Drosophila melanogaster: one gene and its partners. The protein of the gene in region 1 purifies or fractionates together with the protein of each later gene. This does not show direct contact. Each region holds a gene or a part of one and is shown in the gene's direction. Other genes may lie near its edges.

Region 1 (5,820 bases):
AGTGGGTAAGAAACTGCTCGAAGTTTTGGTAATCCGGCTTAGAAACCAACAAAGCCTTCGATGTGGAGGCCTCCTCATCGCTGCTTTCCTGGTCACTTTTGGGCTCGGAGCTGGCCTTCTCGTTTTTTGCTGCCTTTTTGGAAGGACCTGCCTTCTGCGCCTTCGTACGCTTCATCGCCTGCAGCGGAAGAACCTGAACATGAATGAAAAATCGTGATTTGATTTTTACTAATTCGATTTAACCCACAATCTTGAATGATTCGCGCCAATATGAAGCAAGTGTAAACATAACTGTATAACGATATGGCGACTCTATCAGCTGTTCAATGAGAGTGAAAATTATGCTAGTAGCCGCACTCCAAATACACTTCCCTTGGAAGAGAAATTATTATGAATTAACATAAATAAAGAATTAAGTATTATGTTTAAATTTATATTAGTAGATTTTTTTTTGGCATAATATTTTAAGGAAAGTTGTGGCTTTCGGTTTTGAAATACATTTAACTCCAGATGTTCCTATTTCCTAAACATTCCCTAAGATTTCAATAGTCTCAGTGCCGCATACGATACACAGCAGTTATCGATTACAAAAAGAGTGCAGATCTGAAAGCGCACGTTGAAATTAAACCGATTCTTTACTGTTTTATAATAAAATGTTTTATATTGGGAATGAAAATGGACGAAACTGTGGACGAAGCGGAATTTAATGCCAATATCGGCCGTATTGCTCGATCTACGCTTTTGCACGATGCTGAACAATCGATCCACAGGGAGTTGATCGACTACGCTGTTGCGTCGTGCCGTCTGTTTTACATCCAGGATGCTTCAGCCTGGAAGGAGTGGAACACCAGGAACGAGGCTTTCAGGGATCTCACTGCCAAGGAAGTGTGCCATTTATTCCTAACCGAAGTTCTGCCCCAACTGGACACCTATCAGCTTTCGGAGATGGCCCAAAAACGCCTTAAGCTTCTGGATCTGCATCCATTCTTCAGGCGCGTTGCCCAAGGCTACCAGTACACTCCGGATTGTGACCTTGCAGCTCGATTTGTAGTCCAGCGCCAGAAACATTTTATCCAACCTGAAGATATCAAGAAGATTAAGGTAAGCATATCTGTCGGCGAATAATTTTGATGCCAATTTACTATGTACATGCATAAATATGAATGTATTTACTTAAAATTGCTTTCGTTAATAAACAATAAGTACCCTTTTTTTAATTTAATTTAATCTATCCTTATGCAGTTATCCGGGCACTTACACATCACATTATAATCTTATATCTCTTACTCTCTTAATCCAATAGTATGATATTAATTTTTGCTCGATTTTTATAGAAAGGCGATTCCCTGAAAAGATGCCAAACCGTGCTCATGGAAAGCGATGAAATGGAGCAGAAAACCTGCGTTGGGTATCGAAGCAAAGTCTCCATGGAGTCCGCCGTTCTGTTCTCGGTACTGTTGTCCACCAACCATGAGCTTTCTATTGGAAAGATGCTCGATATGAGTGAGATTCACGAAAGAATGCGGCGCGCCAAACAGTCATTCGAGGATACTGCTAGAGTTACTCCGTTCCGAACGAACATTGATGACCTAATCTCCGATTTGGATGTCTGTGCTAAGGTCAAATCCAAACTTTGTCGAGTAATAAGTGATTGTAAAAAGTACTAGAAAGGATTAGCTATATCTTTTATCTATATTTAATACTTTTATTTCATTTTAATCAATAGTATAAAATTATTTCTCTGGATTTTAGGTGACTATAAGAAGACTATTTTTGTAATATTTTTGAACCATTTAAGCTCAAAATACAACTTACTATTCATATTTTAATATATAATTCCATGTTATCATGAATTTATTAGAATTTATATATACAAGTAAAGATTCGAAATTCAGCTTCGACCCGCTCCTTACGATTGTTATCTATATTATCAATTAATACATTAAGGTTGCTCATCATAATTGTTAATTGTTTGCTCATAAAAGCGTTTAAAAATGAAAGATGGGAAATACTTTTTTAGCTTTCCCTTATTGTCTCTAAAGTAAGATCGTAGTCATGATACAAGCTCTTCCTAAATGTGTAGAAATAATGATACATTTGTATTATATATACATAAACGCGAAATATTAAAAAGAAACATTCCGAAAATTAAAGAATTGCATTAGTTTACAACAAAAACTATCGAATCTCTCTAATCAAAACGACGCGCCAAGCCAAATTTAGTACATTATCTGTGCTGAATCATTTTCGCTGTGCCGCAATATTTAATTAACTGCAGCGATCATTGCAGTTTTAGCCACCAGAGAAGCGTAACATAGAAATCAAAATGCAGAAGGTTGCACTGCTTCTAGTCGCCTTCCTGGCTGCGGCCGTGGCCCACCCAAATTCGCAGGAGAAGCCCGGATTGCTGCGCGTACCGCTCCACAAATTTCAGTCGGCCCGCCGGCACTTTGCGGATGTGGGCACGGAGCTGCAGCAATTGCGCATTAGGTACGGCGGAGGTGATGTGCCGGAACCGCTGTCCAACTATATGGACGCGCAGTACTATGGGCCCATTGCCATTGGCTCGCCACCGCAGAACTTCCGTGTGGTTTTCGACACCGGCTCCTCGAACTTGTGGGTGCCGTCCAAGAAGTGCCACCTGACCAACATCGCCTGTTTGATGCACAACAAGTACGATGCCTCCAAGTCGAAGACCTACACCAAGAACGGCACTGAGTTCGCCATCCAGTATGGCTCGGGCAGCTTGTCCGGATACCTGTCCACGGATACGGTGTCCATTGCCGGCCTGGACATCAAGGATCAGACATTCGCTGAGGCGCTCAGTGAGCCGGGCCTGGTCTTCGTAGCTGCCAAGTTCGACGGCATCCTAGGCCTGGGCTACAACTCCATCTCGGTGGACAAGGTGAAGCCGCCATTTTACGCCATGTACGAACAGGGTTTGATCTCCGCTCCGGTGTTCTCATTCTACCTGAATCGCGATCCCGCCTCGCCCGAGGGCGGTGAGATCATCTTTGGCGGCTCCGATCCCAACCACTACACTGGTGAATTCACCTACTTGCCCGTTACCCGCAAGGCCTACTGGCAAATCAAGATGGATGCCGCCTCCATTGGCGATTTGCAGCTGTGCAAGGGCGGTTGCCAGGTGATCGCTGACACCGGTACCTCACTAATTGCTGCGCCCTTGGAAGAGGCCACCTCTATTAACCAGAAGATTGGTGGAACTCCCATCATCGGTGGTCAGGTGAGTACCATGCTCTAAGTTCTCACATGAAGCACTGCTAATCCTCTTAATTTCTTACTTTAGTATGTGGTTTCTTGCGATCTCATTCCCCAATTGCCGGTAATCAAGTTTGTGCTGGGCGGAAAGACCTTCGAGCTCGAGGGCAAGGACTATATTCTCCGTGTGGCCCAGATGGGTAAGACCATCTGTCTGTCCGGCTTTATGGGCTTGGACATCCCCCCTCCAAACGGACCCTTGTGGATCCTCGGTGACGTTTTCATTGGCAAATACTACACCGAGTTTGACATGGGCAACGATCGTGTGGGCTTCGCCGATGCCAAATAATCGAACAAAGAAAAGTATACTTAAAATTTAAATTGTAAACATTATCGATCGATCCCATTGCGGGTTTCTCCGAAGAATAATATATAAATTATCATTTTAGTAGATTTTCCATATATTTATTAGCGTAAGTTTATTAATTACAATAGGGCTTGCGCGGTCTGCACTTAATGAGACGAATAGTAAGTACGTGGCGATGACCGACGCTTCTAATCTTCCAAAATCGACTAACTTAAGTATAGCAAGAGTTCTTATCTCTAAAGCTTAACAAGTTACAGTTTCTTATAGGTAAAGCTCGATCTATAGATGGGAAAAGCACTTGAGGCTTACGACTATATTTCGGGTGTTTTGTGATTGTGTTAACTCCTCCCCTTCTAAGACGAAGGCTGTCCACAGACTTTTTACAATTGGCAAATCTATTTGAAAGCGGATCTTACGGGTAACATTGGTTGTGCACTAAGTTCCCATACTGCCAACCTGGTACTGCGTTAAACCATCGAAGGGAAGGCAGCTCTGCGTGTCTGGATGATCCGAGAAGTTCGTAAATGCTGCTGATTCTCCATGTCATGGGTTCGCAACAAGGTTCTGGAGATGATCGTAGCGAACTTGGAAAAAATCTTTATTGTAACCGTCGACTTGTTGACGACGATGATGCTGATGTTGGTTGAACTAGTTGACCATCAAAACGTATGTGTTGAACGCACTCTGGTTGGCGTCTGATGGCAGATATTATTCAGTTCGTCGTTTCAGTACCCAGGCGCAGAAATAGTTGCCGCATCTTTACGTCTTTAGCAGATACTACGTTGATAGATCTTAATTCCCTCTTCTACTCTTCTCATCTACTTAAGAGGTAGTTACAGTTTTAATACTAAAGTTTTGACAATAATTAAGTATAACAATTATAATTTTATAATAAAGTTCATTCAGATATTTTTGATATTAAAGTATGTAGTAAAACGCTTATTGATTGCAAGTATTGATTTTCCTATTTAGTTGAACAGAATCAGGAAAGGGTATTGATAACATTAGTGTTTTATTTTTTTTTAATCGGGAATTTGAAATCTAATTAGAGTGAGTGCGCTATACTGTTATTATGCCGTTTTGGTAATGCATTTATTTTCTATGGTAGTTTCAGGAAATATTTGTGGTTGCGTGGACTTTAAGTTTTCAAATCATTCGGGTCTAGCATTTCATCACATACCTTTAAAATTTTCTAAAGAGGATGAAGCGGAAATAATACAAAATGTTTAAAGATTAAATAAGAAGGATTTGACAAATATTTAATTGAAAAATGTTTGCAAACTCTTTTACTAGTGTTCAGATTTCACGTTTGTATTTTGCTAACTTGGCGATGGTCACAAAAGGAAAAGAAATACTAAACCTAGCGTAGATTATCTTTATGAACGACCCTCCCTTTTATGAGGACCGTTGTCCCGAGGTCTGCTTCGATTAGTTCTTCCCTATACCGTGGGGTTAGTTTATTTCCCAAGCGATTGTTTTGTTTTACCATGACGGTTTCTCCCACCTCAAAGGTTCTGTCTCGTCTTGTTACATTTTCTCTTCTTAGCTGTTTTTCCTGAGCTTCGTTAACCATTTCTACTATCTCGTTAGCCAATTCGGGAGGAGTTGAATGAATAATGTCGATCGGTCTTCTATTGGTGACTGAGTGCACCGTCTTATTGTATTCTATTGTTGCCTGAAGAATAAGGTTGACTGTATCATTCATTCCACTGTCAAGTTTCAGGCATCGAGCTATTTCTAAAAGCGTGCTGTGAAACCTTTCAACCTGTCCGTTTGAGGTACTATGAAGTGGAGGTGCGTTCGCTATGTCAACATTAAAACGATTTTTCAAAAGTGACTTGATTGACTCGGAATTTATGGACGGTTCATTGTCACAAAATATTGTCTTTGAATGGGGAAAAAAGTTCATTAGTTGCATAATTGCAGGTTCTAAATCAGTTATCGTTCGAGAGCCGATTGGTTGCACAATAGCGAATTTGGAAAATTTGTCAATACATGTCAAAAAGTAATTCCTGTCCGTAGAAAATATATCAATATGCAATGTCTCGCCTACATGTGACGGAATAGGTGTTCTCCCGAGGATTTGCTTTTGCGGATGGCGGTCGTATTTGGCTTTTTGACAAACCAAGCAGTTAGAAACAAAGGTAGCGGCTATTTGTGACATTTTAGGGAAAAAGTAGTATTGAAGAATTTGTTTTACATTCTCCTGTGCTGCCCTATGCGCTCTGTTGTGC
Region 2 (6,346 bases), on another chromosome or scaffold:
CTACTCAGAACAATGTTAAAAATAAGAATAAATAGCTTCGACAGTCCTAACAGTCTTGAACAGTTGTATGTGAAATATTCGTGGATCAACATGTTGTTCGGACTTATAGGATCATTTTTGCTTATGCTGCAAATAATTCTTGTGCCTTATTCAAATGGTGCAGGTAACTTTCAGCATGCATAAACTTTGTACGCAATTTAAAATCTATCCTTCCTTCAGGGTGTCAATTTGATACGGAATGCGTGAATCTGGATAAGTGTCCCAGGACCAGAGCAGTTATGAACTCATCCAGGAAAAATATAATAGGTCTTAGAAGATGCGGCACTAATAAAGTGTGCTGCCCCAAGTGGGAAACGTATCTGCCACACGATACTTGTGGACAATCAAGAAGAAAACCTACGAAGGGCAAAATACCGGCGCTGAATGAGTTTCCCTGGATGGCCATGCTGTTATATGGAAATAAAAACAATTTGTCCCAGAAGCTGGTACCAAAATGTGGTGGATCCCTAATAAACAACTGGTACGTCCTGACCGCAGCGCACTGCGTGGAGTATCCATTTATGGACTATCCGTATGCCCTCAAAACAGTGAGACTGGGCGAACATAACACGTCCACAAATCCCGATCGGGCTATTGTGAATGGAAGAAGACAGTACGCTCCTCTTTATATGGAAATTGAAGTGGACCAAATTATTACGCATGAACAATTCAACCGGGGAAGGCGGCTGATAAACGACATAGCACTCGTGCGTCTTAAGTTTCCTGTGCGGTGAGTAATGATTCTCCTCTGGTCGAAATAGAAGTAGGATATGAATTGAAATAATATATCTTTATATCTTCCTATAGCTATACGAGAGCCATCCAACCTATTTGCCTTCCAAGAGCCCAAAAATTGGCCGCGCATAAGCGAAAGTTTCAAGCATCCGGCTGGCCAGACATGGGACAAGGAATTGCAAGTGAGGTACTCTTGCGCAGCTTCATCGCGGAACGGCATCCAGATGTGTGCAAATCAAATTATGACTTTAATTTGGGCAGTCAGATATGTGCTGGTGGTCTGGATGGGAATGACACCAGTCCCGGCGATTCCGGGGGACCCTTAATGGAGACCGTGATACGTGGAAAGGTCACACTCACTTATGCAGCCGGCATAATCTCCTACGGACAGAAGCCCTGCGTACTTAAAACTTGCAAGCCAGCATTTTACACAAAAACTTCATACTTTTTTGAATGGATAAAATCGAAATTGCAAAGTCCATTTATCGACAGCGACAGCAAATCTCGTACTAGAAAATAAGCAATTTATTTAATTCCTACATTTTATTGCCTCAAAAACTAGTTTAACTGCATCCAGGAAAAGGTTCGGCGCGATTTTTGCGCAGTACGAACTGAATTTTTCGGTTCATGTCCTCGTTGTAAATGGCCTTGCATTTCTCGAAGTTGATGCGACGACGAACCTATACAATAGTTTAATACAGTAAATAATAATAAATAGTTAAGTTATTTAAAGTCGAACCTGATACGGCTTTTCGTAGAATCGCGTGCGGCGAAATTGGTCGAGCAGTTCTTCTTTTCCCAAGACGCGATTTAACAGACGACACGCCTCCTCCACATTATTGTTTTGCACCAGAACGGTGCGGGCCAGAAACTGCACGTGTCTCATTTCGGATAAGTAGTTTTATTTTATAAAGTTTTCCAAATGTTTATTAAATAATCGGCTTTCAAAACAGTGTGACCATTTACTGTACTGCTAAACAGCTGATGAATATCACTAACCAGGGCTAACGATTGCTAATAAGAATCGTGGACTCAGAAGGAGTACTTTGAGAACCACTCAACTTAATAAATAAGAAAAATATTTATTCAACACAGTATTTATTAATGCATTGCCAAAATTATTTCTGTAATGCCCATCACACTTAAGAAATACATATTATATCCCATCAAATTATCAAAAATTGCTAATCACCTGAAAATGACTAAAATACCAGTTTTCGGACCTTTGCGGTGCGAGGCAACCCTGATGTTGTGGTTTTTCTTGCCGTTTGCCGCTCTGGTCACACTGGTTTCCAGTTTTCTTCCTAGCGTGGCGGCCATAGTAAGCTGTTGAAAAGTATTCGACGTAAATTAAATTTGTTGTAAAAGTGAAACTTCCAGGAATCGGGCTGCGAAAGTTACTATTTGCTTTAGGCACGACACGACACGAAAAAAGGTGAGCTGGGGCGGCTCTGGGCTAATTAAGATTACCACCTGATTTTGCACATTTCGTCTCGCATTGTGCGGTTTGCCAATGTGTGTGTCTACTTGGTAGACACTTCCTTTGCGCTTGGTTTTCTCATCTCTGTCGTTAAGTAATCATCGATAATTGTTTTTTGTCAGAGAATTTGCCTTCGATTTTTGGCATTAGATTTGCAAAATCGATGGCCATCTAGCTTTTTTTCTCTTCTTTGTTCAATCGAATTCTTCTGACGCAGCGTCTTGCGCGGCACATGTTGGTACGCATACAAGCGCAAAGTCTGGTGCATGTGTGTGCTAGGCACTGGTGAAAATATAATAATTGTATCTATTGATTTGCCTGCTAAATCGAAGGCTGCTTCTAGAATTCATTTCCATTCTTATTTTCGACTCTGCCCTTTCTCCTTTCATTTGTTCCCCTTTTCGTTCTTTTACGGTTTTTTCATTATTACCCTCTCCGCTTTGCAGTCGCCGTTCGCAAAACCAGGGCTGCAATGCGCTGACGAAAACTTCTAGAAACTGTGTGTATGTGTGCGTGCGAAAGAGAAGCGGTTGTTGTCGAAAGGGGGAAAGAGAGCGTCAGCTGCTCGCCGTATTGAAATACGACAATTGTTCTAGAAAATCGACTAGAAAACGTCGCAGTTATTTTCGCGAACACATGGCGGCGTAACGACCTTGAATCCCGGGCTCTAGCTTCCGGCAATGCCTACTATTTTCCGTTGCCCCCCAAATTACACGGAAAAAAATGGGTGATGGCATCAAGTCACAGCTGTAGAAATCAATAAACAAGAAAGGGTCATATGATCGAGTGGTTTCTGGATTTTGAAAAATGTATTTCTACAAAAAAAAATGGGTAACAAAATATAGGTTACTGATTTTTGTTTACAATACTAGTTAGAGAGGAATCAGCCCTTTGAACTATGAAATGTCATTAGATATAAAACTGACAATAACTTCCATCGGGAACCTAGCTGCCATAGAAACAGCACCACAAAATAAATTTTTTTTTTTCATTTTTTATAAGAACTGGCATCCAAATCGGTTGAAACTTCAAAAATTTTCGGTATTACACAACTTCATAATTTCTACCTATATATGCCTGGAGCATACACAAATCTGTTCCCCAATCTGTTATTTACAAGCTCCCAGATAGTAATTACGCACTACTTCGTCTGTTCACAGTAAACAGCAAACAAAATGGTTAAGGAGACTGGATATTATGATATACTTGGCGTGAAGCCTAATGCCACGCCCGACGAGCTGAAGAAGGCTTACCGCAAGCTGGCCCTCAAGTACCATCCGGACAAGAACCCCAACGAGGGCGAGAAATTCAAGGCCATTTCGCAGGCTTACGAAGTGCTGTCCGATGCGGACAAGCGACAGGTGTACGACGAAGGCGGCGAGGCGGCCATCAAGAAGGGCGGCGCAGATTCCGGTGACTTCCGCAATCCTATGGACTTCTTTGAGAAGTTCTTTGGCGCTGGATTCGGAGGTAGTGGCGGTGGACGCAGGCGCGAGAGGCGTGGCAAGGACGTGGTGCACCAGATGTCCGTACAGCTGGAGGAGCTGTACAATGGAGCGACCCGCAAGCTGCAGCTCCAGAAGAATGTGATCTGCGACAAGTGCGAGGGTCGCGGCGGCAAGAAGGGCAGCATTGAGAAGTGCTTGCAGTGCCGTGGTAACGGTGTGGAGACACGGGTTCAGCAGATCGCCCCCGGCATCATGCAGCACATCGAGCAGGTGTGCCGCAAGTGTTCGGGAACTGGCGAGACCATTCAGGAGAAGGACCGCTGCAAGAACTGCAGTGGCCGCAAAACGGTGCGGGAACGCAAGGTATTGGAAGTGCACATTGAGAAGGGAATGCGGGATGGCCAGAAGATCGTGTTCACGGGAGAGGGCGATCATGAGCCGGAATCTCAGCCGGGCGATATTATTATTCTTTTGGACGAGAAGGAGCACTCCACATTCGCGCACGCCGGACAGGATTTAATGATGAAGATGCCGTTGCAACTTGTCGAAGCGCTCTGCGGATTCCAGCGAATCGTTAAAACGCTCGATGATCGCGATCTGATTGTGTCCACACAGCCCGGCGAGGTTATCAGGCATGAGATGACCAAGTGTATTGCCGAGGAGGGTATGCCCATTTTCAAGAACCCCATGGAGAAGGGCACGTTGATCATCCAGTTCGAGGTGATCTTCCCGGAGGTGATCAATCCGTCGGTGGTGCCCACGCTTAAACAGTGCCTACCCCCGGCGCCGGAGGTTGACATTCCAATCGATGCAGAGCAGACGGTTTTGGTGAGTATTTCAGTAGTAGTTTATATCACGATATATAAATAATATATTATTTATAATTAATTTATTTATCGATTTGCTTATCTTTCGCAGGAGGACTTTGATCCCAAGCAACGTCGCCAGCAACACCAGCGCATGGCCTACGATGAGGACGATGGCGGCTATCAGGATGGCCCACGCGTCCAGCAGTGCACATCGAGTTAAGCGCCCCCGCTGCGTGTTGCATCCCCGGACACACAGCCCTAATAATACCCCAACCAACAAGCCGTAATAATATGTAAACCAGCTCCCGGAACACTGTAATTGCGCTTGCAAGTGCCGAAGAACTCCCAAAAGCACCTTAAAACACCATCCAATTCACACTAGGAGGCCCAACCAATCGAGAGATCTAAAGTTATTTCATGCAAGCTACGATATTTAGGTATAAATCAAAGAAACTTATCAGATATATGCACTATGTCTATAACGCGTGGTTGTTTGTAAACCAACATTTTTCTTTATGTTTATGTTGCGTTGGATTGTCAAAGAATCGAAAACGGAAACTGAAACTAAACTAAACTGAAATTGAAATTAGCCGCCACTAGAACCGTATCTAAAGTCCGCGCCAGCGAACACGTCTAGGAACAAGTTTAAGTTATTTAATTCCAGCATAAATAAAAGCGTTAGTTTAAACGGATATAACAAATAAATAATTAATACACAATTTCAACCCAAATGCTGTATATTCTTCTTCCCATAGTTCCAGTATCACTTGCCTTCCTCCGGCTATCTATTGATTCCATAATCGCTGCATAGTCACCCGCAGGTGTGAATCATTCGAATAATGCCAATTGGAGATATCAGGCATATGGCAGTAGTTTCGTCTTGAGTACATTATTTAAAATGCTATCTGGGATAAGTAAAAGATAAAAAGAAAGATAAGGATAGTTTGGGATATATATGGTAATGCCATTAAATCGTTAAGGATATAATGAGGGATTTTGTAGTTGTTGAGGATTATAAAGCATCCTATAAATGAATCTGCGGACCTGCCTGTCGCAAGGAATAACATCAAAAGCAAATTCAAAATGTAAAATGTTTTGTAAATTTATTTACAAAATTTCAAAATGAACTACAACATAATCTGGTGGAAACTAGTGCGCAAAGTTTCGGAGAGCGGCCACAACTCCAGTTCCATAGATGAGCTTCTCCTCCACACGCTGCCAAGCCTCCTGCTGCACCTGGGACACAGTGCGCAGCTCCTTTACCAAATCCGGGAACTCCGTCAACCCGAGACCGTGGGATCGCAAGAAGACGCTTAGATACGATTGAGCCAGCTCAAAGTTCAGATTGGTTCCAAACATGAACTTAACGAGTTTGAGGAACTGCAGCATGGCAAGGAGTGTTCCTCCAGCCTCCGGGTGCAGAGATTTGATCTCAAAGTCAACCATCGATGGTCCTAGTTGGGTCAAGTGCGCCACAGCCGATGCGAAGTCCAGGGAGTCAGCAGTTTCCTCCAGCAGCTGGCCAAAGGCAGTAAGATTGTTGAGAGTAGAAGCCTTCCGAATCCGGGATTCATCCTCCTCCTTCTGACCGTTCTCCACATCGAAGCGCAGTTCCAGTCCCGAAACCGTGGGCAGGAAGAATGGGGCCTGTTTGGGAGCTTTTGGTGGTGCCTTGGGCTTGTTACGTTGCTTGATTAGCTCCAAATCCAATAGATTCTGCCAACGGGATGCAGCCAACCCGGATAGCGTTATCAGTTCCTCGGACAGCTGCGTTGGAGTTTCGTACTTGGTGTCAACTAGCTCGCCGAGTTTTGACTCGTCCTCTTCGTCGATCT
Region 3 (7,711 bases), 3.3 Mb from region 1:
ATTTCGCATTGTTGTGCAAACCTCGCTGTTTAAAGAGATGTTACTAAAGGATGTTACTAAAAGGCATTCCGACAGAAATCAAAATAAAACATATCTTCTACTGAGCATATAAGCCTATGTCTGAACAATAACATACTTATATTGAATATGAGCGGTTGATATTTTTTTAGCAGTATCAAGCTTTCTTGACTTACGGCAATAATTTCGCTTTCTATCACTGTGATGGTGGGAATTCTTAGGAGTCATGCTGGATTGCAGCTTTTCAATTTGTAGAGAATCGTTTTGTTATTCCTCTTGGGATGCGATGCTATATAAGCATTTTGGCAGGCTTCCCAGCTCAGTTGTCATTTTAGGCAAGCAGTTAATAAAATTAACTATGAGTATTGCGCAGAATGCGCAATCCATTCAGCTTGTGAGGGCATCTTCTAGTCAGGCACAGATTTTGGCCAATGTGAGTTGAAATACTATCACCACAATCGGGTATTCCACTAACATACATATGTGATCTGGATATTAAGGTAGCCGATAGTGTAGTCACTGAAGCGAGATCCTATAAGAACATTCCACTTCCCAGAAAACAGGAATTTGCAAGGGCATTTATGCCGGGTGGAGAATTTCACGATGCCTCAATTTTGGATTATGCAGCAGCGATGAGAAGTTGTTATGGTGATATCTTCATAATGCCTGGAATGTTTGGTCGCAAGGATTGAGTCACCACATTTAGTACAAAGAATATCGAGACTGTTTTCCGCAGTGAGGGAACTTGGCCGGAAAAGGATTTCTTTCCCTCGATCACATATTTCCATTTATGGAGAAAGTGTGGGTCTGATATTCGCGTAAGTTACCAAATAATTACATATGTATATCAAAAGCGGAAGTTAATTTGGAAACTATAATTTAAGGCAAGCAGCGTTGTGGGGCAAGATGCGATCAGCCGTCAATTCAATTTTTATGCAACCCAAAGGATTGAAAACTTATTATGAGTTCAACAACTAGTTCATTGAGCGCTAAGAATTAATTCATACTTGTATATTTCGATGTCCACCTGAGTTTTACTTTTTCTCCAACATTAAAGAAATTCGAGATGCTAGAACTCTGGAGATGCCGCCTGGTTTTCGAATCCCTTGGCTTGGTGGCTTTCGATCGCCCAATGGGTTTGATCAGTCGAAATCGAGACGATCCAGATGCATTGACTGTGTTCCAAAACACGAAGCACGATGTTCAGATATGCCTTTCAATTGAATATACAGCCATCAATGTGGAGATTTATCTCCACTCCAAACTTTCGGATGATGATGCGTCTTCTCGATGACATCTTAATGTTCTCACAGAAAATGATAAAGGACACCGAGGACTCTGTGGAAAAGCGGCGCCAGTAAATAAATAAAATAAAAAATAAATAAAATATCAGTATGCAAAGAGAACAAGGATCAACTCTAAGAATTGTTTTTATTTTTCTTTAATTTGGTTATTTATCTTGAAATTGTCTACCGTTGAACTAGAATCCTTATAAATTTTTAAAAAATATTTAAATATTTTAGATTTTTTTCTAGCGATCCCACTAAATGAGTAACGGGTATGTAATAGTCGTAATAGTAGTATCAAATTCTCTGAGGTGTATTTATTGTAAGTTCCAACGCTCTCAATTTGTTTTTCTAGCCAGTCACGTTCATTTGTTTATTTTTTCAGTTGAGTGAGGTAGGCAATTCACGGCGATTATACCGTTCAGCTGATAAGAAAATGAAACTCATGCTTTGTTTGCTGGCTTTTGTTTTTGTTTGAGATTTTTGCATTTTGAAGCATTTCAAGTTATTCGCTCTCCTCTCTTTTCTACGTTTTAGAGATAAGCCTTTGGTATAAGAACGTTCTCGAAAGTGGAACTGTTTTTAGTTGCAGTTGATCACCAAAAGGAATAGAATGAATACATTGAGCAGTGCGCGATCTGTGGCGATTTACGTGGGTCCCGTTCGATCTTCAAGATCAGCCTCCGTTTTGGCACATGAACAAGCTAAATCTAGTGTTAGTATGCACAAAATCCAGTCGAAATAGATTTATCATGTTATTAGTTTCCAATTATAGATAACGGAGGAGCACAAGACCTACGATGAGATTCCGCGGCCCAACAAATTCAAATTTATGAGGGCTTTCATGCCCGGTGGTGAATTCCAAAATGCATCGATTACGGAATACACCAGTGCCATGCGAAAGCGCTATGGAGATATCTATGTAATGCCCGGAATGTTTGGCCGCAAGGATTGGGTCACCACTTTCAACACAAAGGACATTGAGATGGTATTCCGCAACGAGGGTATCTGGCCACGTCGTGATGGCCTGGATTCCATTGTATATTTCCGCGAACACGTTCGACCAGATGTTTACGGTGAGGTTCAAGGATTGGTGGCTTCGTGAGTATAAAATCTAATAAGTAGCAAGGAAACAATTGAATTTGAATATTTCAGACAAAATGAGGCATGGGGAAAACTACGATCAGCCATTAATCCCATCTTTATGCAACCCAGGGGCTTGAGAATGTATTATGAACCATTGTCTAATATCAATAATGAGTTTATAGAGCGGTAAGAAATTTTTGTTATTGAATTGTTATTTATATATAGCAATAAATTCCATTTTACTGTGCAGCATTAAGGAAATCCGCGATCCAAAAACTCTAGAAGTCCCCGAAGATTTTACGGATGAAATAAGCCGGCTTGTTTTCGAGTCACTCGGCCTGGTGGCTTTCGATCGGCAAATGGGTCTGATTAGAAAAAACCGCGATAATTCCGATGCATTGACCCTCTTCCAGACCTCGAGGGATATTTTCCGTCTCACATTTAAGCTAGACATTCAGCCCTCCATGTGGAAGATCATATCGACGCCCACCTACAGGAAAATGAAGCGAACTCTCAATGACAGTTTGAATGTGGCCCAGAAAATGCTGAAGGAAAATCAGGATGCACTGGAAAAGCGCCGCCAGGCTGGCGAAAAAATAAATAGTAACAGTATGCTGGAGAGATTAATGGAGATCGATCCCAAGGTGGCGGTGATTATGAGTCTGGACATCCTATTCGCTGGTGTGGATGCCACAGCCACGCTTCTGTCGGCTGTTTTACTCTGCCTCTCAAAGCATCCGGATAAGCAGGCCAAACTGCGGGAGGAGCTCTTGAGCATCATGCCCACAAAGGATTCCCTACTCAACGAGGAGAACATGAAGGATATGCCATATTTGAGGGCTGTGATCAAGGAGACACTGCGATACTATCCCAATGGCTTGGGAACCATGAGAACCTGCCAAAATGATGTGATACTTTCGGGTTACCGGGTGCCCAAGGGAACGACTGTCCTGCTCGGCTCAAATGTGCTGATGAAGGAAGCTACATATTATCCACGACCAGATGAATTTCTGCCGGAGCGCTGGTTAAGGGATCCGGAGACCGGAAAGAAGATGCAGGTCAGCCCCTTCACGTTCCTTCCCTTTGGCTTTGGACCCCGCATGTGCATTGGCAAACGGGTGGTGGATCTGGAAATGGAGACCACAGTGGCCAAGTTGATTCGCAATTTCCATGTGGAGTTCAATCGGGATGCCAGCCGTCCATTCAAGACCATGTTCGTCATGGAACCGGCCATTACGTTCCCCTTCAAATTCACGGATATCGAACAATAATTTGCTTCTCATTTGTGGCCTTTACTTGTGTTCCTTATAGTTGCGATTTTTGATTACAGTAAATGTTTGACTGATGAAATGCAGATAAGAATTTTGCCTCCTCCTATTTCGCATTGTTGTGCAAACCTCGCTGTTTTGATAAGCAAAATGTTTAATACGTTTGATAAGATTGCGCTTTGTTGTGGCATCCCTATCGCTTTTTTTCGTATCAATTTGTTTTTTTCAACACAATTGCGAGGTGTGCTTTTCTTATATTTTTAGGTAACAAAGAAGAGACTATTGTAGGTTGTTATTTTTCTTGTTTTTCCCCCACACTTTGTATATTTAGGTGGTGGGTAGCGCTCACCAAAGACACTTTCAGCTGGAGCTTGCAGCTTGGCAGGCAGGTGAGAACGGGCTGCCGAGAGGATGTCCTTTGCCGCGCCACAAATACTTCTAACGGCAACAGCAAAATCAGGAGCAGCACCCAACATCAGGAGAGTAGCAAAGCGGCAAAAGCAGCAACAACAGACATATTCGCCTGCGGCCTGCGGAGTTATGCTAACTGGCACTCAAAGCAAAGCGCGGCCAAAAGCTCAGGTGGTTTGCCCTGTGCCACCTGCCACCTGCCACCTGCCCCCCTGGTCTTGTTCTTGTTTTTGCTGTTGCTGTGCCTGCCACTTGGCACTGGCAGCTTGTAACAATAATTTAAGCGATTTTGCGCTTTTTGCGAGTGGGTTAATGGCATGCTCAGGATCTAGGAAACGGGAAGTGGGAACTGTGAGCTGGGAGCCTGCAAGCGGGTATCCTTTGGCGTGGCGAAAATTCCACTTTTGTAGCAAACGCACATAGCTTATGAATTCCGCAATCCCCGATGCGGTGCAGCAGCAAAATGGTAGGGATGATGGACCGTGGGTCCTGGTCCAGTACAAAGTAAAAATGCAGAACATGTGTTTTTTCGGGGTGGCTGGATAACCTGGCTTATAGCAGCCATGGCCAGGGATCAGCTATATACATATACATATGGTCATGTACATCTCTTTGTGTCTGCTGTATATTAAAATTCAATTTTAAAACCGGCCACGCACAACCGGGCGTATGCGTAATGCGGCATGCAATCATTTGCGTGCGCCTTCGCTTGGAAATTCCTTTGCCATAACTAATCTCGAAGGCCAACCAAGACTAAGGCCAACCTAAGACTAAGGACCAGTCCTGACGTTTCATATTTCTAGCTCACCGCCCTGCCACCCAAGCTCAACCCGTTCCTTTGCCGCTCGTCTTTTATTTTATTTAATCTTTTTTCTTTTTTTTTTTTTGTGAAAAATTTCATACTCATCAAGTTGACAAAGAAAAAGTTTTTCATTATTACATTTCGCTGTCATTTGGGCGCAGAAATAGCTTGGAAAAGTTCTCGGAGTCCCGCTTTTCCTTCGCCGGCTGCCGGTTGAAACTCGAGTGCAGCGCGTAAATGAGTCACTCCCATTTTGAGTCGCCCGCCCGCAGCAGTCGGCGCTCATCATCAGATTTCCAAAAGGATAATGGTTTGGGTTGTGCTGGGCTGGGTTGGATTTGGTTAGGTTGTGGGGTGGTGGGGGGCAGTGGGAAAGGCACGGGCCCATTGCGTAGCTTGACGTAATTTTCTTGGCCTGCCTGACGAGTCGCATCCTTGCACATTAATCCATTGGTGTGCCTGGATCTCGGTAGTCGGAACCCCGGAACCCGGAACCCAGAGCTCGGATCTTGGTCCTTGCTGCACGCAAATGAGGGTATGGTCAAATCACTCACTGTCAGCCCGTGTCCCAAGGAATGCGTTCAGCATGTCCTTTAATTTTTTCTCCCTCTAAGACCAGTTTCATTCCCCTTTTCTGCACTTTGACAAAAAGCTGAGTCCTTAGCTTGCATAAGCAAAATGAATGAACCTATTTTTAAGTCATATACTTTTGAAAAGATACAAAATGGCCTTTGTTTAATTGAATAAATTTTTTTTGAAACTTTGAATGACATTATATATTTTTATTTAGTTGTTTTAAGCAATAATAAATTTGCACAAATTATTATTTAAATATGTTTGAATAGTTTAAAAACTTAATGATTTTTCAGTTTTTTCTTATTAGTAGGTCTTTAAATTTCTTTTGAGTCTCCTCAACATCATTCCATTGATTAGCAATTCGGATGACACTTTTCTTATTGTGCAGGCACTAGCATTTTCTATAACTTGACGTTTGCCCGCCTTGTCGTTGCCCGTCCATTTTCCATTTCCCATTTTCCGTTCGGCCAGCCCATCCCCACTCCCCCTGGCTTCTTTGTCCGGCTTGTACTTGTGTTGCCTCGCTTGCCGCTTTGCTGCCTGTCAGCGCGCAGCTTAAGATAAAAACTTTCCTTTCCACCCAAAAAAGGGGCCAAGGCGGCAACACCGGCCAGAAAAGGCTGAAAAAAAAGCAGGCAGAATGGCCTGCGAAAGGGTTGACTCTGACATTTAGCTTTCGCATATTTGCACACACCCCGCGTCCCCATCCACCGACAGTATATTTTATAGACTAAGGCGAAGACATGACAAATGCTCAAATAGAAATTCTTCAACAAGATTCTTGGCCGAAACTTAAGTTCATTTTTTGGTCGTGCACATCGCATGGGGGCTTTTGTAAGGGCCTCACCAGAAAGAATTCAAATTAAAATGCGATTGCTCTGGGGCTCACTCGATTTTCGTGTGTTTTCTGACACGGCCTGTCGATGGTTTTTGCATTTGTCTGCAAGGCTGAATTTAATACAGGACACTCTGCGCTTTCCGAATCACGAATTGGCTTCAAATTCAATCGATTGGTGGGGCATTCAAATATTAACAAAAATAGAAAAAAGGGTGTGCTTTTTGTAACAATTTGAAAATACTTTTATTTACTTAGGTAATTTAAGTAAATAAAACAATATACTAAAAGTGTGTAAGGCAGTTTCTGTTTTAGTGAATATATTACCTATAACTACATTTTATAAACCTGTGACAAAATCTACGTTATCCATTTAATGGCTATTAAATACTCCAAAACATTTTCCGCATCGATTTCCTTTAATATTCAAAATCATTTTCCGCTTTCACAGGAATAATATCAAACATATGACCGTGCAGCTGACGCTCAGATGTTTTCCCGCTTTCCACGCGGCCACTCGAACTTTTCATTCATCAGGCGCAGCGCACACGCATTGCCGAATTTGCACCAACACCAGTGCATCGGGGTCACCCAATTTCCACCCAAAACAGCCACCCACTCAGCCGAAGCAGTCGAATAACCCAGACACCCGCACAACTCACTCACCCATTCATATATTTTATGTTTTGTTTACATTGCCGGCTTGTGCAGCCCAAACAACAACTGATTCTATGGAAAAAGCGTTGGGAAAGCCTTGTGACGTCACCGGGAATGTGCGTGCTATAAACCGAAGCGAAAGTATAAGAGAAAACTGTTATATGGCCGAAGAGAAAATGCTGATGGGAGGGAATACAAATACAAATGAACGATACGAGTGCGCAATTAAGGAAGGAACTCGCAATTTGGCTGCTCATTTTGGAGCGTTTTGCGGTGAGTTGAAACTTCCGCAAAATGGCCGAGAGAGTGTGGGAAAGAGAGAGCGAGCGGCCCGGAGAGAGCGAGTTCGCAACGTCATCGGCACAGCATCAACAAGCTTACTGGCTGCTAAAAATCGTCATTACGCTGAGATCATTATTCCCATCGGCGAGGAGCGAGAAAAGTTGTCGCAGAAACGAGTCAACGCTCGAGTACGTCGGTCATTGCGCTGTGTGTTGCACTTTGTCGGCTAAAACGCACACACACACACACACACACACGCATACGCAAACGCACACTACTATACGCGCACTACCATTTACGGAAACGAAAGAGAAACAGAAACTATTGCATACCGCCAGGCGCACATGGCGCTTGCCGTTCGCAATTGTGTGAGTGCGCCTTTGTGCTTTGTGCTTGTGATATCTTAAAAGGGGTTTCAAAATGTTTTAAACTACAAAAAGCACCTGAACTATGCAATAACTACCACCAAAATGTCAAGTGCTTTGGATAA
Region 4 (5,150 bases), on another chromosome or scaffold:
CCCAACAGATACATACCCAACGTTGGCTGACTTACAGCTTTAAACCTTTAAGTGGATAAACATGGATATCGTAGGATTGTGAAAACTTGTTAAAGTCATTTAAACTTTATGGACTGCAACCCACTCCTTAGGCAATTGGGTGTGACCTCTAACTTTGTCCCCTGGAGTTCTGATCACGTGACCATCTGTATTAAAGGGAACCAACCCATTCCCCAGATCCCAATCCAATGATGTAATCCTAGGCAGGACAACTCACCGCACTCTGGTGTCCTGTGGGGCAGTGCTCGTGCTTGTTGGGATGGTGGTGGGTCTGTTGCTTGTGGCTGGCACCACCGTTTGCTCCTTCATGGTGGAAGATCTGCTCGTGCTGATGCTGGAAGTACTCGTAGTGACCGACATGATCCGGATGGTGTTCCGTTGGCGGTGAATGGATCCTCGACGGTGGGCTGTGGTGCTGTCCCTTGGCGGCGTGGCCGGAGGTGGTGCTATGATGCGCTGCCTGCTTCTGTGAATGGCCACCTGCTCCTCCATGATGACCACCGCTGCTGGTATGATGACCATGTCCGTGGGCATGATGGTGATTGTGGGTTGGCGGCGAGGGCATGTTGTGGCCGCTGTGGGGCAGATGCGACGAGTGCTGCACACCCACCTGATGTCCGTGGTGGTGAGGAACATGACCTTGGGACGCCTCCATCAGCGTTGGCTGGATGTGGGTCACAAACTGGGCCATTTTGCCGCAACCTTCAACTACTGCTCCCTTTTTGTTGTGGTTTCTTTGAGGTTTGGGCTTAGGTAACACTTGTTTAAAATTTCACTCCTCTATGAGGCGGTTTTTTTTTTTGGGAAGGCGGGGGTGGCACTTTTATATGTATCCCAAAAGTGGGAGTGGGTAGCACAAAAAAACACACACTACGGCTGGCTTGCGGACGAGTTGTGGGCGACGGAGGATTTGGGCTCGGACCGTGGACAACCTTCTCGCAGGAGCAATGTCAAATGACTGACTAGGAGCAGCTATCCCAGTTGGGCCTTAGACGCCACAGGACTCGCCACCCGCCATCGCACCACCCGAACCACTTCGGCTCCAGCTCGGCTGTGCGCGTTCGTCCTCGTCGTGGCGGAAGAGCTTTAACCGGACCCAGTTTTATGCGCCTGGCCTGGCTGATAAGAGATACCACTCGCTTCAACGGCTGATTACGACTTTGGATGGCTGCGGATGCTGATTTAATGATGTCTTCGTGCCGCGCCACGTAGTGCTCTGTTTTTTATATCTGCCTGTCAACTGTGTCACGGATTTCCAATTCGTTTCGCTGGAGATTTTTTTGTCGCTGGGAGGCGGGGCTGCAATCTGTTATTTTTAAAACAGCCAGAGGAACATGTTCCGTCTATTTGTGTCAAGCGGGAAAGTATGCTCCGATTGTTAAGCACCTAACAGGTGGCAGCGAAGTCTAACGACTAGGGACTATCCTGTTGGTTCTTATTTTATTATTTAACATATCAAATCATGTTTTAAATGTTTTGAATATGGAAAAATGGGGTTAAAAAGTTAAAGCGAATGAAACCTATAATTATCTAATTGTCTCTACATTTTATTCTAAACTAACCAAAATATAGTATATTACTATTTAATATGAATTATCCCTCAATGACCTCTGCCGACGAACATTTTCAAGCCTAATATACCCGATTGTATTATTTTATACCTATTGCCCAGAAGCAATACGTTACGTTGTGAACTGAAAGCTTTTACCTTACGTAGATTGCTGGGCATTACGTTAAAGCTATGTTTTATTAAGCTTATTTCGTAGGGTATTTCGTGTGGTACATTGATATCTTAAAAAAGGGGGTGTGTCTCTTCATACACATATGCCTATGTACTTGACAAAACCTGGATGAAATGTACAGTTGGTATTTTAAAAATATTTTACAATACAATTTATTTATATAAGCATTATATTACAATTAAGGCGAGGTACAAACAAATTTGTTAACTCTTCGAAAAGCTTTGGGAAAGTTCCATCAACAGCGCATACAAATGTCTGCGAAATCTTCCCTTATCTCAACCTCCTGCATATATTTGTAGGTGCATATGCTTGTAGTTCGTTCGTCACCACGATTCTGTAGCTTTTGCGACTGCCAGCGCAACAAGGTCCAATGTCCAAGCGTCGCTGCCATATCGCGATGAACCAATGTACATATGTATGTACATATATAACATCGCTATACCGGCGCATCGGCAACTCGTTTGGATCATTTCGCTGGCAGCCACCGACGAGTTAGCAAGGCGACCTAGTTAAAACTCAGGAAAATACGAAAATAAACCCACATTCAAATGGCGTTCCTCAACAAGGTGAGCATATCAGTCAATTTACAACGCAGAGAAAGTGAAAAACACATCGCTGGGACATATCATATCCAAAGGTCCAAAGTTCTATCACGCTAGTGACGACAGCAACTGTTGATCGTAGGATCATACATACATATACATATGTACCTACCAACAAACATATATTCGAGTGGGTTCCGTTTCGAAAACAATTTGTTGCTGCCTATCTGTTAGCAATCATCTGTACTTTGCCCCCCCTGAGAAAGTATTATTAGCGGCGTCTAATGGCGGCTTATCGTGCACTCTATTTAAATCGGAATGCAAACTTTATGGGCAGGCATATTCGTTATCTGTTTTATGAAAAAAATAGAATGTGATGGTTGGTTATGAACCTCAAACATCCAAAGTCCCTTGTAAATATAAAAAAAACCTTCGTCTATGATCATGATGTTGTATTAATTAAATACATACGTAGTTGGCCCATTTTATTTGTTGCTTGTAGTTAAGATTAATTCGCGGTCAACTTTGTTGTTGTTCTGATTATTTCTACATTTTCATTTTGCATTTCGATAAACACTTGTTTACCAGTTGACTTTAAATCCGATATCCAATATCCGAAAATCCAGCTTGCTGCGCCTGCCCTGCGCCAGTTGGTGTCCCAAAGTCGCGCCTACGCCGCCGTGTCACACGTTTCGCCCAATGGCACCTCTTTCGCACTCACCGAGGATCAGCTGCAGCTGCAGGAACTGGCACGTAAGTTCACCCGTGAGGAGATCATCCCGGTGGCCGCCCAGTACGACAAGAGCGGCGAGTACCCGTGGCCCATCATCAAGAAGGCCTGGGAACTGGGCCTGATGAACAACCACATTCCTGCTGATATTGGTGGCCTGGATCTCGATGTGTTCACCACCTGCTTGTCGGCCGAGGAGTTGGCCTATGGCTGCACTGGCATCATGACCGCCTTAGAGGCTAGTGGTCTGGGCGTAAGTTTAAAGTCATGTCTATTTACGGCAAGATGATCGAAACGCCACGTTCTTTCATAGCAAACTCCTGTGATCCTGTCCGGTAACAAGGAACAGAAGAAAAAGTACCTGGGCCGCCTGCTGGAGGAGCCACTTGTCGCCGCCTATTGTGTTACAGAGCCCGGAGCAGGATCCGATGTGTCCGGCATCAAGACACGCGCCGAGAAGAAGGGTGATGAGTGGGTAATCAACGGCCAGAAGATGTGGATCACCAACGGTGGTGTGGCGAACTGGTACTTTGTGCTGGCCCGCACCAATCCGGATCCCAAGTGCCCGCCCAGCAAGGCCTTCACCGGGTTCATTGTGGAGCGCGACAGTCCCGGACTAACGCCCGGCCGCAAGGAGTTGAACATGGGACAGCGCGCCTCCGACACGCGTGGCATCACCTTCGAGGATGTGCGCGTGCCCAAGGAAAATGTGCTGATTGGCGAGGGTGCCGGTTTCAAAATTGCCATGGGCACCTTTGATAAGACGCGTCCTCCAGTTGCTGCCGGAGCTGTGGGTTTGGCCCAGCGTTGCTTGGATGAGGCTCTTAAATACGCGCTGGAACGCAAGACCTTTGGCGTGCCCATCGCTTACCACCAGGCTGTGCAGTTCATGCTGGCTGATATGGCCATCGGTGTGGAGACATCCCGTCTGGCGTGGCGTCTCTCCGCCTGGGAAATCGACCAGGGACGCCGCAACAGCTACTATGCCTCCATTGCCAAGTGCCATGCCGCCGATATGGCCAACAAGATTGCCTCCGATGCCGTCCAGATCTTTGGAGGCAACGGCTTCAACAGCGAGTATCCCGTGGAGAAGCTGATGCGTGATGCCAAGATCTACCAAATCTACGAAGGTACTTCTCAGATCCAGCGCCTCATCATTTCCCGAAACATGTACGAGGCTGCTAAGGGTCAAGCCTAAGTCAGTTTTAACTAGGATTCCTCATCTCCATTCACCTCATCAGTTGTCATGCTCATTGTAGACACATTCACAAATCCGATTAATAAAGTACAATAAGTAAATAATTACAAGAAAATATAAATCATTGATTGTGATTTGTCTGTTGAGGGAAATGTTGTATAAATGGCACTTGGTAATTTCTAAGGAATTACTTATTCCTCAAGTGTATAAAAGGAAGGAAGAAGTAAGCAAACAGTCAGTGCGTTAGTATGTTTACTAATTCTTAATATTTCAAGTTTCTCTAATCTTGCCCTCACTTACCCCCAAAATTGTAGAGTCTAGACCATCGCAAATTATTTCGCTAGCTATCATCCATTGATAAGATAAGCCCTGTGGGGGCTGAGTGTTTGTTCTACTTAGGTTCAACGAATCGCTGTTCTGCTATCAACTGAACGATAAGACTTACTGTACTTAGATTTGCTATATAATTGTCAAACAATAAAAAATGCTCTGGGACATACAACACAAGGAAATGGTTTACACATGATGAGACTACACTATTCCGCATCGCTTCCATCAGCGAGTAGCTTAAGTAGACCTTTGTACCGCCTTCCAATTTTCCGGCTATTTGATGTGGTCAACATTTTGGCCTTGTCTCCAAATTGCAGCTGCCAAATGGACTGAAGTGTTTCCAGGGCTCCTGGCATGGAGAACACCTGCTCATCAACTGTTAATTCTAAGCGCCTGGGCAGCTGCTTTAGTTGTTCGAGTTTTTGCAGACGAATGTCATCCAGTAGATTTGTACAATTAACGGCCAAAAGATCGCGTAATTGAGGTAGTTCATCTAATATGTATCCAAGAGTAGTTCCACTTAAATTGCTATTATCACTGATATCCAACATCTGTAGTTGTTTGGCTTT

What was found.
Region 2: the proteins of cathD (region 1) and Droj2 purify together in Drosophila melanogaster (affinity purification with mass spectrometry, with the first as the bait; one large-scale study listed by BioGRID). This does not show direct contact.
Region 3: the proteins of cathD (region 1) and Cyp12d1-p purify together in Drosophila melanogaster (affinity purification with mass spectrometry, with the first as the bait; one large-scale study listed by BioGRID). This does not show direct contact.
Region 4: the proteins of cathD (region 1) and Mcad purify together in Drosophila melanogaster (affinity purification with mass spectrometry, with the first as the bait; one large-scale study listed by BioGRID). This does not show direct contact.

The regions. Positions count from the first base shown.
Region 1 is NT_033778.4:7,819,973-7,825,792, reverse strand, and holds the start of cathD (cathepsin D), read left to right. Parts: upstream 1-2,223; 5' UTR 2,224-2,326; coding exon 2,327-3,244; intron 3,245-3,307; coding exon 3,308-3,568; 3' UTR 3,569-3,682; intron 3,683-5,820. Other genes in the region: phr (photorepair), read right to left, coding at 1-193, 248-289; CG30383 (uncharacterized protein), read left to right, coding at 670-1,101, 1,335-1,667.
Region 2 is NT_033777.3:13,380,050-13,386,395, forward strand, and holds Droj2 (DnaJ-like-2), read left to right. Parts: upstream 1-2,056; 5' UTR 2,057-2,095; exon of another isoform or gene 2,096-2,154; 5' UTR 2,155-2,209; intron 2,210-2,772; exon of another isoform or gene 2,773-3,063; intron 3,064-3,215; exon of another isoform or gene 3,216-3,414; 5' UTR 3,415-3,429; coding exon 3,430-4,530; intron 4,531-4,620; coding exon 4,621-4,731; 3' UTR 4,732-5,234; downstream 5,235-6,346. Other genes in the region: CG8870 (uncharacterized protein), read left to right, coding at 91-163, 220-769, 847-1,294; mRpS21 (mitochondrial ribosomal protein S21), read right to left, coding at 1,338-1,454, 1,514-1,660; CG9799 (uncharacterized protein), read right to left, coding at 5,661-6,346.
Region 3 is NT_033778.4:11,116,055-11,123,765, reverse strand, and holds Cyp12d1-p (cytochrome P450 12d1 proximal), read left to right. Parts: upstream 1-1,881; 5' UTR 1,882-1,917; coding exon 1,918-2,019; intron 2,020-2,079; coding exon 2,080-2,405; intron 2,406-2,459; coding exon 2,460-2,576; intron 2,577-2,640; coding exon 2,641-3,661; 3' UTR 3,662-6,541; downstream 6,542-7,711.
Region 4 is NT_037436.4:7,717,111-7,722,260, forward strand, and holds Mcad (Medium-chain acyl-CoA dehydrogenase), read left to right. Parts: upstream 1-2,239; 5' UTR 2,240-2,329; coding exon 2,330-2,347; intron 2,348-2,788; exon of another isoform or gene 2,789-2,949; coding exon 2,950-3,306; exon of another isoform or gene 3,307-3,366; coding exon 3,367-4,251; 3' UTR 4,252-4,362; downstream 4,363-5,150. Other genes in the region: CG7457 (uncharacterized protein), read right to left, coding at 4,788-5,150.